2 linked regions of the Drosophila melanogaster genome follow. The protein of the gene in region 1 interacts with the protein of each later gene in a biochemical or structural test. Each region holds a gene or a part of one and is shown in the gene's direction. Other genes may lie near its edges.

Region 1 (4,942 bases):
GATGTGGCTGACTTTGATGACCAGGAGAAGGCTTGTACCATCTGGCGAAGATTTTCCAAGTATATTACATTCATTTCTATGTACTTTATCATATTGGCATCCCATTTCAATTTACTTTAGCTTATTCGAAACATCACAATCGCTCTTTTGGGCCTCTTTTGGCCTGGTGGACCTGGTCTCCTTCGATCTGGCGGGAATCAAGAGCTTCACCCGCTTCTGGGCACTGCTAATGTTCGGCTCCTATTCGGTTATCAACATCATTGTGCTTCTCAACATGCTGATTGCCATGATGTCCAACTCCTACCAAATCATCTCGGAGCGAGCCGACACTGAGTGGAAGTTCGCCCGATCCCAGCTGTGGATGAGCTACTTCGAGGATGGCGGCACCATTCCACCGCCCTTCAACCTCTGTCCCAACATGAAGATGTTGAGGAAGACCCTGGGCCGAAAGCGACCGTCACGAACCAAGAGCTTCATGGTAAGTTACACTCAGAGAAATTCAATATTTCAGTTTAAGTATTATACAAATCCACACATATATATTAAATTCAGTGTACTCTACTTTTAAATGATATTTCTTATCATATTACTTTTAAATGTAAGTAACATTTCGAAAGTTCGATTTTTTCAAGTTGAATCACCTCACAGTGAGAGGCGGCTCACAATCAATACAAATCTTAAGCGAAATCATTTTCAATCAAGCCCATGCAGAGCTATCTGTGCGTCAAATTGACGTCTAATACATCCTTTCTGTGTCCTTCCACCCTCTAATGCTCCCTGTTCCAACTCCCAGCGAAAGTCCATGGAACGGGCACAGACGCTGCATGACAAAGTGATGAAGCTGCTGGTCAGGAGGTACATTACGGCGGAGCAGAGGCGGCGGGACGATTACGGCATTACCGAGGATGATATCATTGAGGTGCGCCAGGACATCAGCTCCTTGCGGTTCGAGTTGCTGGAGATTTTCACCAACAATAACTGGGATGTACCCGACATTGAGAAGAAGTCGCAGGGTAAGGGAAGCCTACCCACATCCAAATTGGCAACTTACACGTGTCTTAAGATAGAAGTAGCAGTATATATGAATAATTATTTACAATTAGCTTTTGAATACCTAATAAAGTTCACCCCATCTTGAATATTAATTTGAAATATGTTGTGCTAGAAGACTACAAAGCTAGAATGGATTTTAATGGATTTTATTCACTAAACTTACTTTTGAAGGAGTTGCTCGAACCACCAAGGGCAAGGTGATGGAACGTCGCATCCTTAAGGACTTCCAAATCGGCTTCGTCGAGAATCTGAAGCAGGAAATGAGCGAATCTGAGAGCGGACGAGATATATTCTCATCGCTGGCCAAGGTCATCGGCAGAAAGAAGACCCAGAAGGGGTAGGTCCACTTAAATCTGTAAGACGCTTTGAATAATGGTTATTATTCTCAACAGAGACAAGGATTGGAACGCCATTGCGAGGAAGAATACTTTCGCCTCCGATCCCATTGGCTCCAAGCGCTCCTCCATGCAACGTCATAGCCAGCGAAGCTTGAGGAGGAAGATCATCGAGCAGGCGAATGAGGGTCTTCAGATGAACCAGACCCAGTTGATTGGTAAATTAATAAAGATGTGCCCAATGTATGTATATTTCCATACCCTTGATCTCCTCCAGAATTCAATCCCAACTTGGGTGATGTGACGCGTGCCACAAGAGTGGCTTATGTCAAGTTCATGCGGAAGAAGATGGCTGCCGACGAGGTTTCCTTGGCCGATGACGAGGGTGCTCCAAATGGCGAAGGCGAAAAGAAGCCACTGGATGCCTCTGGGGTACGTTCCAATCAATATATGTATATGTATTCCCTGGCTAATATATAATCTCACTTGCAGTCTAAAAAGTCCATAACTAGTGGTGGAACTGGAGGAGGAGCTTCTATGTTGGCTGCAGCTGCTCTAAGAGCATCGGTTAAGAATGTGGATGAAAAATCCGGAGCCGATGGCAAGCCCGGCACGATGGGCAAGCCAACGGATGACAAGAAAGCAGGTGATGATAAGGATAAGCAGCAGCCTCCCAAGGACTCCAAGCCGTCAGCAGGTGGTCCCAAGCCCGGGGATCAGAAGCCAACTCCGGGTGCGGGAGCTCCAAAGCCCCAAGCAGCTGGCACTATCAGCAAGCCCGGTGAGTCACAAAAGAAGGACGCTCCGGCACCACCAACCAAACCTGGAGACACCAAGCCTGCTGCGCCGAAGCCTGGAGAATCCGCCAAGCCCGAGGCCGCTGCCAAAAAGGAGGAGTCTTCCAAGACCGAAGCTAGCAAGCCGGCAGCCACAAATGGAGCAGCCAAGAGCGCAGCTCCCTCCGCTCCTTCGGATGCCAAGCCGGATTCCAAACTGAAACCTGGAGCAGCTGGAGCACCAGAAGCAACTAAGGCAACCAATGGGGCCTCCAAGCCGGACGAAAAGAAGAGCGGTCCGGAGGAGCCAAAAAAGGCTGCAGGAGACTCCAAGCCAGGAGACGATGCCAAGGACAAGGATAAGAAACCCGGCGACGATAAGGACAAGAAACCTGGCGACGACAAAGACAAGAAACCTGCTGACAATAATGATAAGAAGCCAGCCGATGACAAGGACAAGAAGCCGGGAGACGATAAGGACAAGAAGCCGGGTGACGACAAGGACAAGAAGCCGAGCGATGATAAGGACAAGAAGCCTGCCGATGACAAGGACAAGAAGCCAGCAGCAGCTCCTCTGAAGCCGGCGATCAAGGTGGGTCAGAGCAGTGCCGCAGCTGGCGGAGAACGAGGCAAATCCACGGTCACAGGACGCATGATCTCCGGCTGGCTCTAAGCCGCGGAATCCACTTTCATAGCAATTAAATAGTTAAGTCCTTTGTTTGTGTGAATAATAAAAAAAAAGAATCTCAAGTACCACGTTTCTGCAACTTGTTGCTAAAGGCCACCTGTTGCCAGCAACATCTCATTTGCATCGCAGCAACATTCATCATCCGCCCCGTTGTTCCGATGGCAATTTGTTTGTCTGCCATCCATCCGCCTGCTTTTCTGGCCTATAAAAGAACGTGAACTTCGACCAGAGGAATCAGAAGAACCGTGACCGTTCCGAGGATAACATCAGACCGAAAAACATATTCGCCAAGCCAGTGTTTCGTCCTAAATAGTCTTGCAAATATGAAATCTATGTTGGTCCACATAGTTCTAGTGATTTTCATAATCGCCGAATTCAGTACAGCTGGTGAGTGGTGGAAACATTACAAAATCGCTTTTAAGGAAATCTTAAACAACAAACTAGTCTATCTCGACTAAGTGCTGCTGCTATCTTTTGTTAACTTTAAAGTGAAAATAGTTAAATGCTTTTTAATAATGTTCAATAATATTTTGCAGCACCTTTAAAAGAAAGAGGTAATGGTAAAAAGACCTTTCCAATTTTTCATTAAAATGTTCTACTTAGAAAAGTTGTTTATTATTATTTTATTAACTTTTTTTTTAACACTTAAAGCACTTCTTGAAGAGGCATGCAATTTAAGTCGTACACAGTGTCTTTTTATATCAAGCTCTTTAAATCAAAAAGGTGATTTCAAATCTAACCGCTGAAATAATAAAAGCCACTTAAGAAGAGTTAAATATCAAAGAAATAGTTGTGGCACTCTAAATCTATAATTCAAATTTAAAAAAGGTTTTAATCACAAAAAGCCTTAATAAAAATATTCAAGTCACTTGAGTTACTTTGGCGGTTAGGCTACGAAAATAGCTTATTCCACGGAGACTTAAGAACAATAAGATGAGAACATTTGAATAAATTGCAATCCCCAAACACTCCATTCAGAGACGGACCACGACAAGAACCGACGAGGTGCCAACATGGGGCTCTATGCCTTCCCGCGCGTTGGTCGCAGCGATCCCAGTCTGGCCAACAGTCTGCGCGACGGATTAGAGGCCGGAGTCCTCGACGGCATTTACGGAGATGCCTCCCAGGAGGATTACAATGGTAAGTCGTTGCGGCCGGATACGGTTGACTAATTGGTCCTAACGCCCCGGGGACGCATGTGCCATTCCAGAGGCTGATTTCCAAAAGAAAGCCAGTGGTCTGGTGGCCTTCCCACGCGTTGGCCGCGGTGACGCCGAGCTGAGGAAGTGGGCCCACCTTCTGGCTCTGCAACAGGTGCTGGACAAGCGCACGGGACCCAGCGCCTCCTCGGGATTGTGGTTCGGTCCCCGGCTGGGAAAGCGCAGTGTGGACGCCAAGTCGTTTGCGGACATCTCCAAGGGACAGAAGGAACTCAACTAGACACACTGACTCCCCCTTTTGACACTCTGAATGTCGTAGATACTTTTGTATATCAAAGAGAACGCTTCTAATTGAATATTGTAACGGGTATACAGCAAATATGTTTTTCGGTCAAATATATATTATGAATAAGGGCTGGTGAGAGCTTGTAATTAATGTCTTTGCGTGTCCTTCTTGCCATTTCAAGTATGTAAATATAATAAATCATATAAAGTAGCCTGCTCAAGTACCGCGTTACAACTGGGATTCCTTTTGGAGTATTAAGAAAAGTTTATTCTAAATGAATTGCAAACAGTTTTGGTTCGGACATGAATGATACGCCATTGCCATGACATGGCTAAGATCATCCGTTGTGGGCTCTACTCCTGCTGTTGCTTGAACTTTCGTAGCTCGGACTGTATGGCCTCGATAAGGGGTGCAGTTCCCGTTCTACTGCCCGATGGAGCAGTCGCATCCAATCGGGCCTCCATCCTCTGGAAGGGTCCTGCGCTCACTGGACGATTCAGGGTGGAGTGGGAGCTGTACATACTCCCACCTCCCCAGGCACTGTAAGTAGGCGACGGAGGTTGCGTCGAGTGCGCCGACTTGGACGTCTTCTCCGGCTGAGCGGTTGCCGGACGTTCAGCTAAGCTCTTGGGTTCCGCCGAAGG
Region 2 (6,517 bases), on another chromosome or scaffold:
CTGGCACTTCGTTCTGGGGTCACCGGGGGGCTTGGTCACCGCCTAAGTGTCCCTAATGACCAGATGCTGGACTGGATTGGGTGGCATGGGGGAGCTACTCCTGGGCTCTCCTGGGTCTAAGTAGGCAGATAACTGATTTACTGGATTTCTAGTTACCGTACTGCTTGCGAACTGGGAGGCTGCTCCAAATGATTATTATGATTATTACTATCTGTAGACAGTCGTTCCCCAAGTTGGCCTCCTAATTACACATGTGGCTTCCTGTTTGCGCATTTCGTCAAAATTAAATTCACGACTGAGCACACTTAGTTGAAAGTTTGCAAGTGCGTAAAATTCTATAGTTCGCTTCGCTAGGCCAAAATGTCTCGATGTGCCGAGTCGAGTTTGGCTCGGCGACATGTACGTAATAATGATGAATCTGTGGCCAACAGCCATGCAAACTTTTCTGGTTGCGAGTATTCGCATTTATGAGTAATCCATTGTTAGCCCCATTCAAACTGGCTTAATAAATCCGGCCAAGATGCTACAGTCGACACCGGCAACCACAATATAACTAAATACCTGTGGGCATGCCACTTCAAATTTAATTCGGTCTAAGTTATAATACTCAAGGCTTTAAGGTTGTGGGTGGCTTTTAAAGATTAGTTATTAATAGAGCATTGCACATGAATTTCCAGGTGCTCAGCTAATTGTTTGACTAATCAGCGCACAAAATGAACTGATAGCAATTAAGTAGTACATCGCTAAATGTACACAAGAATTAATTTAATGTGGTGTGTGCCAGGTGATAAGAAGGCATCTGTCCATTCAAACAATGACCCATGTTTTATTCAGGCTTCTTTTATTTTAAAGTGCCTGCCTATGCGAGGTAATAAAACCTTTGTGGGGGGGGGGGGGGGTTAGGTGTTGTCTTTCACCTTCTCCCCGAGTTGATAATTTATGCTTGTTGACATTTCAATTTAAGTTAAGAAGATTTTCGGACGCCGTCGTCATACAATAATTTAAATTTCCCACGCAGGCCGCCTTGAAAAGATAAAGCGCTTTTTGTTTCTCCAACAAGAACAAAAGGAACTTTAATGTTACAACATTGAAAGATATATAAAACAATTAGTGCACTATTCCTATTTCATATAGTAAAGGTTAGCAGAGGAAATTTTTAACTTAAACTTCGAAAACTTTCGAATTTCGTAGTGTTCGTTTCGTTTATTTAACATCTGATCTACTTATCTACTACTAATTAAAGATTAAATTTTTGTTGTTTTTGACGTAAACAAAAAAAAACCCAAGAAAGCGTCGTAATCGTGTTCCACGACTATCAGATACCTGGTGAGCTGTGAGCTAGAAATTTAAAAATTAACCATTTAAATAGTTAAATCAAAAATCATAAAAACTAGTGTTAAAATTGTGGGTGGGACAGCATATAGAGACGTCTTTTGGACAACGTTCTAATTGACACAGAGAAGGAGACACATCGAATTGCATTCTTAGTATCAACTTTCTAGCTTTTATACGGACATACGGGCAGACATACGGACACTTTGAGACCGATGCGGCTAGTGTGATCCTGATCAACTACTGTATAAGAAAAGTTTATGATAAACTCTTCCTACTAACTGTTACATACTGTTCAACGAATCTAGCATACCCTTCTGCCCAACGAGTTGCGGGTCTAATTACTCATTCTGCGGCATGAACATGCCATATCTATATATTTAACTTGGCCACATATATATATATATAAATGTACATGGTGTTTATACATATATGCCCATATGTATATGTATGTGTCTATTTACAATTTAGCCTAAACCATGCCTTCTTATCTTTTTAGCGGTAGACTGCGGACAGTAATCTGTGGCCATCTAAAAGATACAGTGGCTGTATTATACGATAGCGCATCGCAGATTTTTCGCTATCCATAAAAATTCAAACGCCAATTGTCGTGTGCCATGTGCTATTCTAAGTTCCGTGGCGGCCGTTAAAAATTTTACACGAAATAAACAAAAACATTCAGCTCTGGGCTAAAATGAATTCATCGACCGATCCGACATTTTCCGAGTTAAACGCAAGTTTCACAAATACCCCAGATACCCTATTCGCCACTAGTGTTAGTTCGGATCCATCCCATGGATTTGGAGAGGAGGACTATGCCTGCGGCACCTTTAACTGCTCTCCAAAAGAGTTTGTGGCCTTTGTGCTTGGACCACAGACCTTACCACTTTACAAGGCAGTTTTGGTAAGTCTTCTGGAAGTGGATTAATTTTTACCAGTTTTACTTGTAATCAAAGCTTAAAATCAAATAACTTTTCTTATTGCCTGTTGTGAGTCATACTCAATAGTCAACAAATATCATTCCTCATCCAAGATATTAAATTAAAACTTTTATACAGCCATTTATACTTGTACATACCTAGGCTAAATACACATGGATATTGGTGAATCGGCTCTGCAATTTGCTTGCTTTAATCTAAGGTTTTAAATTGATAAAGCGATCATTCTGTTTGCTTAAACCTTTTCCAGATAACAATTATTTTTGGTGGCATATTTATAACCGGGGTCGTTGGTAATCTCTTAGTGTGCATTGTGATTATTCGCCACTCGGCAATGCACACGGCGACCAATTACTATCTGTTCAGCCTAGCTGTTTCAGATCTGCTGTACCTACTATTTGGTAGGTTAACTAAATAAAATAGGAAAATATAGTTAACTGAATATGCTGTTTTAAACAAAACTAGGATTACCAACGGAAGTGTTTCTGTACTGGCATCAGTATCCGGATCTCTTCGGCATGCCATTCTGCAAAATACGCGCATTTATTTCAGAGGCGTTAGTATAACTACTTTTGACTACACGTTTAGCCATTTATAAACCCAGCTGTGTTTCAGATGCACCTATGTCTCCGTCTTTACCATCGTCGCATTTTCCATGGAGAGATTCCTGGCCATTTGCCATCCATTGCACCTGTATGCTATGGTTGGCTTCAAGCGCGCGATTCGGATAATAACAGCTCTTTGGATTGTTAGTTTTATAAGCGCCATTCCATTTGGACTGCTCTCGGATATTCAATACCTCAACTACCCATTAGGTATGAAACTATTTACATCATAAGTTCCCTAGCAGTACAAAAATGGTGCTTGGTGCTCGAGTCAGTAGTTGCTCAAATGAAGTAAATTGCTGAAACCTTATAAATCAATTGAAATGGACTTTAATTTTGCGAGCGACCTGAACTTCACCATCCAACAGCCATGAATGGTTGAAGTATATTCTTTGAATAATATCCAAATAACATGAACAGGTATAAATGGCATTCGTTGCGCTTTTCAGATCATTCCCGCATTGAGGAGTCGGCATTCTGTTCCATGTCGCCCAAGATTGTTAACGAAATTCCCGTGTTCGAAGTATCCTTTTGCATTTTCTTTGTCATTCCGATGATACTCATCATTTTGCTCTACGGACGAATGGGAGCCAAGATTCGATCTCGAACGAACCAAAAATTGGGCAAGTACCTGGCTTTTATTGACCCCAAAAGATCCGACTTCAGGGATGTATTCCAGGTGTTCAACAAGGCACCAACAACAGGGAAACGAGAAACTCCCAAATGAGAAAGAAGACGGTTATTCGCATGTTGGGTGAGCTTTTCCCAATCAATCCCAACAGAATCCATCAATAAAGTCCCCGTTTAATCAGTATAGCTGCTGTGGTGATTACGTTTTTCGTGTGCTGGTTCCCGTTCCACCTGCAAAGACTCATATTCCTGTATGCCAAGAACATGGATAACTATTTGGACATAAACGAGGCACTCTTCTCGATTGCGGGATTTGCGTACTACGTTTCATGGTAAATGAACCCAAATTCTATTAACTTATTTATCTGATTCAACTGGCTTGACAGCACCGTAAATCCAATAGTGTACAGTGTGATGTCACGTCGCTACAGGGTTGCGTTCAGGGAACTCCTCTGCGGAAAAGCCGTGGGCGCCTATTACAACAGCGGATTTGCGAGGGATCACTCCAGTTTCCGGGAAAGCTCCGCCTACGACCGCGTTCATTCTGTAAGTTATTAAGTTATTGAAAGCACATTTTAATCCAACCTAACCTAATTTGGTTATTCTATCTCAAATTACCCCATAGGTTCACGTCAGAGCCAGCCAGCATCCAAATAAGTTCGAAACGGACTCCTCATCTGCAAATAGGGTGCTGATAAAGAAAACCTACAGCCTCCCGCTACCAAAAGTAATTAAACAGACCAAAATCATAAATACTCATTGAAGTATAGCATAGTGTCCTAGAGTATGATATAGTAGTAAATTAGCATAAATTTAGTTATTACAGATGCGCAGATTCTTTTGAACTGGAAATCCCAGAGTTATTTCCAAACTTTTCTGTGTCGCCGGACTCTCGGAACTCAAAGATACCTGGGCGAATAAATCAAATTAAAAAGTTATTTCACTCTGCGTCAATTTGTGTATCCTTGTAATTCCCAATGCTGAAGTTGCTTAGTATTCCGGCTCCATCCCCGCTTAACTTGATTTCGCTTTGTTTACACAAATACCCATGGGAACATAACTTTTCCTTACATTGCCTGTTGAGCGAATTAAAGTGCTCGTATGTGATTGTTTGAGTTTGTGAAATAGTAAAATACAGGGCGAATAAATACTACATTACTTTTCACCTGCTTGTATTCCACGTGTGTATATTAACTTTGGACCTTGCACTTCCAGAATGCGGACTCCACGGTCCTGAGCACCACGGACATTGTCATCGTGCTGGAAAACAGCCACACAGTTTGCGAGGAGCCCAAAGTTGAGAACGATATTTGGATCGAGAACGAGGAGACTTGTATTTAAGCACGAGGCCATTTCAACATTTGTAGTTTAAGCCAAGGACGTCGAGAACAACCTTTTGTAGAACTAATTTAAGAGCTAAGAATTGCGTATTGGGAATTTAGTGATATGACTGGGAGTCTGTCTAAATTCAAATGTGCCCCCGCACAAAGGAGATTTATTTATTTCTACAACATCTCATAATATTACTAAATAAACCAACTGAGTTTTATTGCTACCGAGTTGTTTTTTTTTAATTGTGTTAGGTCCTTATAAATATTTATTTATACATAAAAAGGTAATCAGTTCCATTTTCACAAACTTACTGGCCACAAAAGAATCTGAGATATTTGAAACTTTATGGAATAACAGGGCTTTTATGAATGAATACATTAACGAACGATTACAGTTTCGAGCGATTTGCATAACAATGATCCAAATTATCGTTTTCATGGCTTGTTCTCTCGAAAAAGCAGTGCCAAATTGACGACAAAAGCGAAAGTTGTACCCATTATCCCAGTATCTATAATTAAAAACATTTTCACTTTTACATGAGGTAAATAACCCTGCATTCACAAGTCTCAGACATCCAGCCATCTGGCATTCTGTATAAGCAAATTAATCTCTGATGTTTGAGGAACTCCGAACCAATTACGCATAGGTCTCCAAAAGATCTTATCTCCGATTTACTTTCACCAGCACTCAAGATAGCCAGATTAATGAGCATACCTGGCCAATGGTTCTGTCGCATCTGGAGCGATGTCACGGTGCCCCGAGGCTCGAGTGCTCCATCTTCGTGTCGCGATATGATCTCTCGGGGATCTCTCGGTGGACACCACATGCACATCCAAATCCAAAAACATCGACATCGACATCGACATCCACATCCACATCCACAGCAGCTCCTCTATGGCAGCAGAGGCAGCATCTCAAAACTGGTTTAGTGGCCATTCCGACACTCCGAATTCCAGCACAGCTAGTTCAGAAACGTTCCATTTGCCACTCAGTTGCTTTCCAACCGACGGCACCGCCGAAATTCAAGAAGAAAGTAATCGGATGGATGTGGATGCTCGAGACCCTCCATTGATTAACGGTGCTGCGGCGTTGGAACCACAGGCTCTAGAAAAAGTGCCCATCTTAAGCTGATATGGCGAACCAAGTCGGTTTTAAATAGATATACATAGATAGCTGCATCTGGGCCCAGAGACGAGGCCACCACATTGTATTTGGCTGCAGTGCCGCGAGGCGTTCCATTTTTATTTAAACGACTGGCCGGATAACAAAGAAAGTGAGATCAAGTCTGCGCGATCGTGGATCGTCGAATGGAAAAGAAGCTTCGCATGTGTGCGTGGTTAATTCGAAAGAAACTTTTTTGCTTTTGGCCGCGGAACTGACAAATGTCAAATACCAATAGACCGTCGTGGAACGAAGACGAGCTTTAAAAATGACTCAGAGTCCGCTTAAGTTGGCCCCCATTTTGGAGGCCCTAGTTCTGATAGTGGTCCTAATCAACCAAGTGCAGTGCGGTGAGAATGATATGAGACAAGCGCGCATAAGGCAGTTTCTGAGTGAGAACCAGCCCCTGGCCCAGCACCATATCAAGCACAATCGGCCGCCGGGTCCCGGACAACTGCCCCGGATAAGATCGCGATCGGATAACCTGGCCATGCTTTCTGGTGGCTCCAACAAGTTCTT

The links. Proteins that work in one complex are often made in the same cells at the same time.
Region 2: of the proteins of Capa (region 1) and CapaR, one has a biochemical effect on the other in vitro, tested with the Drosophila melanogaster proteins (one study listed by BioGRID).

Annotation. Positions count from the first base shown.
Region 1 is NT_033777.3:29,912,491-29,917,432, reverse strand, and holds Capa (capability), read left to right. Parts: upstream 1-3,086; 5' UTR 3,087-3,175; coding exon 3,176-3,239; intron 3,240-3,830; coding exon 3,831-3,992; intron 3,993-4,062; coding exon 4,063-4,292; 3' UTR 4,293-4,442; downstream 4,443-4,942. Other genes in the region: trp (transient receptor potential), read left to right, coding at 1-59, 121-478, 794-1,013, 1,225-1,390, 1,446-1,606, 1,666-1,820, 1,881-2,837; CG31036 (uncharacterized protein), read right to left, coding at 4,652-4,942. UniProt on the Drosophila melanogaster protein: CAP-1 and CAP-2, but not CAP-3 are ligands for the Capa receptor. CAP-1 and CAP-2 are probably components of the signal transduction pathway that leads to Malpighian tubule fluid secretion via the second messenger nitric oxide.
Region 2 is NT_037436.4:21,557,510-21,564,026, reverse strand, and holds CapaR (capability receptor), read left to right. Parts: upstream 1-1,845; 5' UTR 1,846-2,026; coding exon 2,027-2,236; intron 2,237-2,520; coding exon 2,521-2,671; intron 2,672-2,735; coding exon 2,736-2,826; intron 2,827-2,885; coding exon 2,886-3,085; intron 3,086-3,324; coding exon 3,325-3,498; intron 3,499-3,554; coding exon 3,555-3,629; intron 3,630-3,687; coding exon of another isoform or gene 3,688-3,692; coding exon 3,693-3,837; intron 3,838-3,891; coding exon 3,892-4,051; intron 4,052-4,130; coding exon 4,131-4,232; intron 4,233-4,720; coding exon 4,721-4,846; 3' UTR 4,847-5,053; downstream 5,054-6,517. Other genes in the region: CG7173 (uncharacterized protein), read left to right, coding at 6,267-6,517.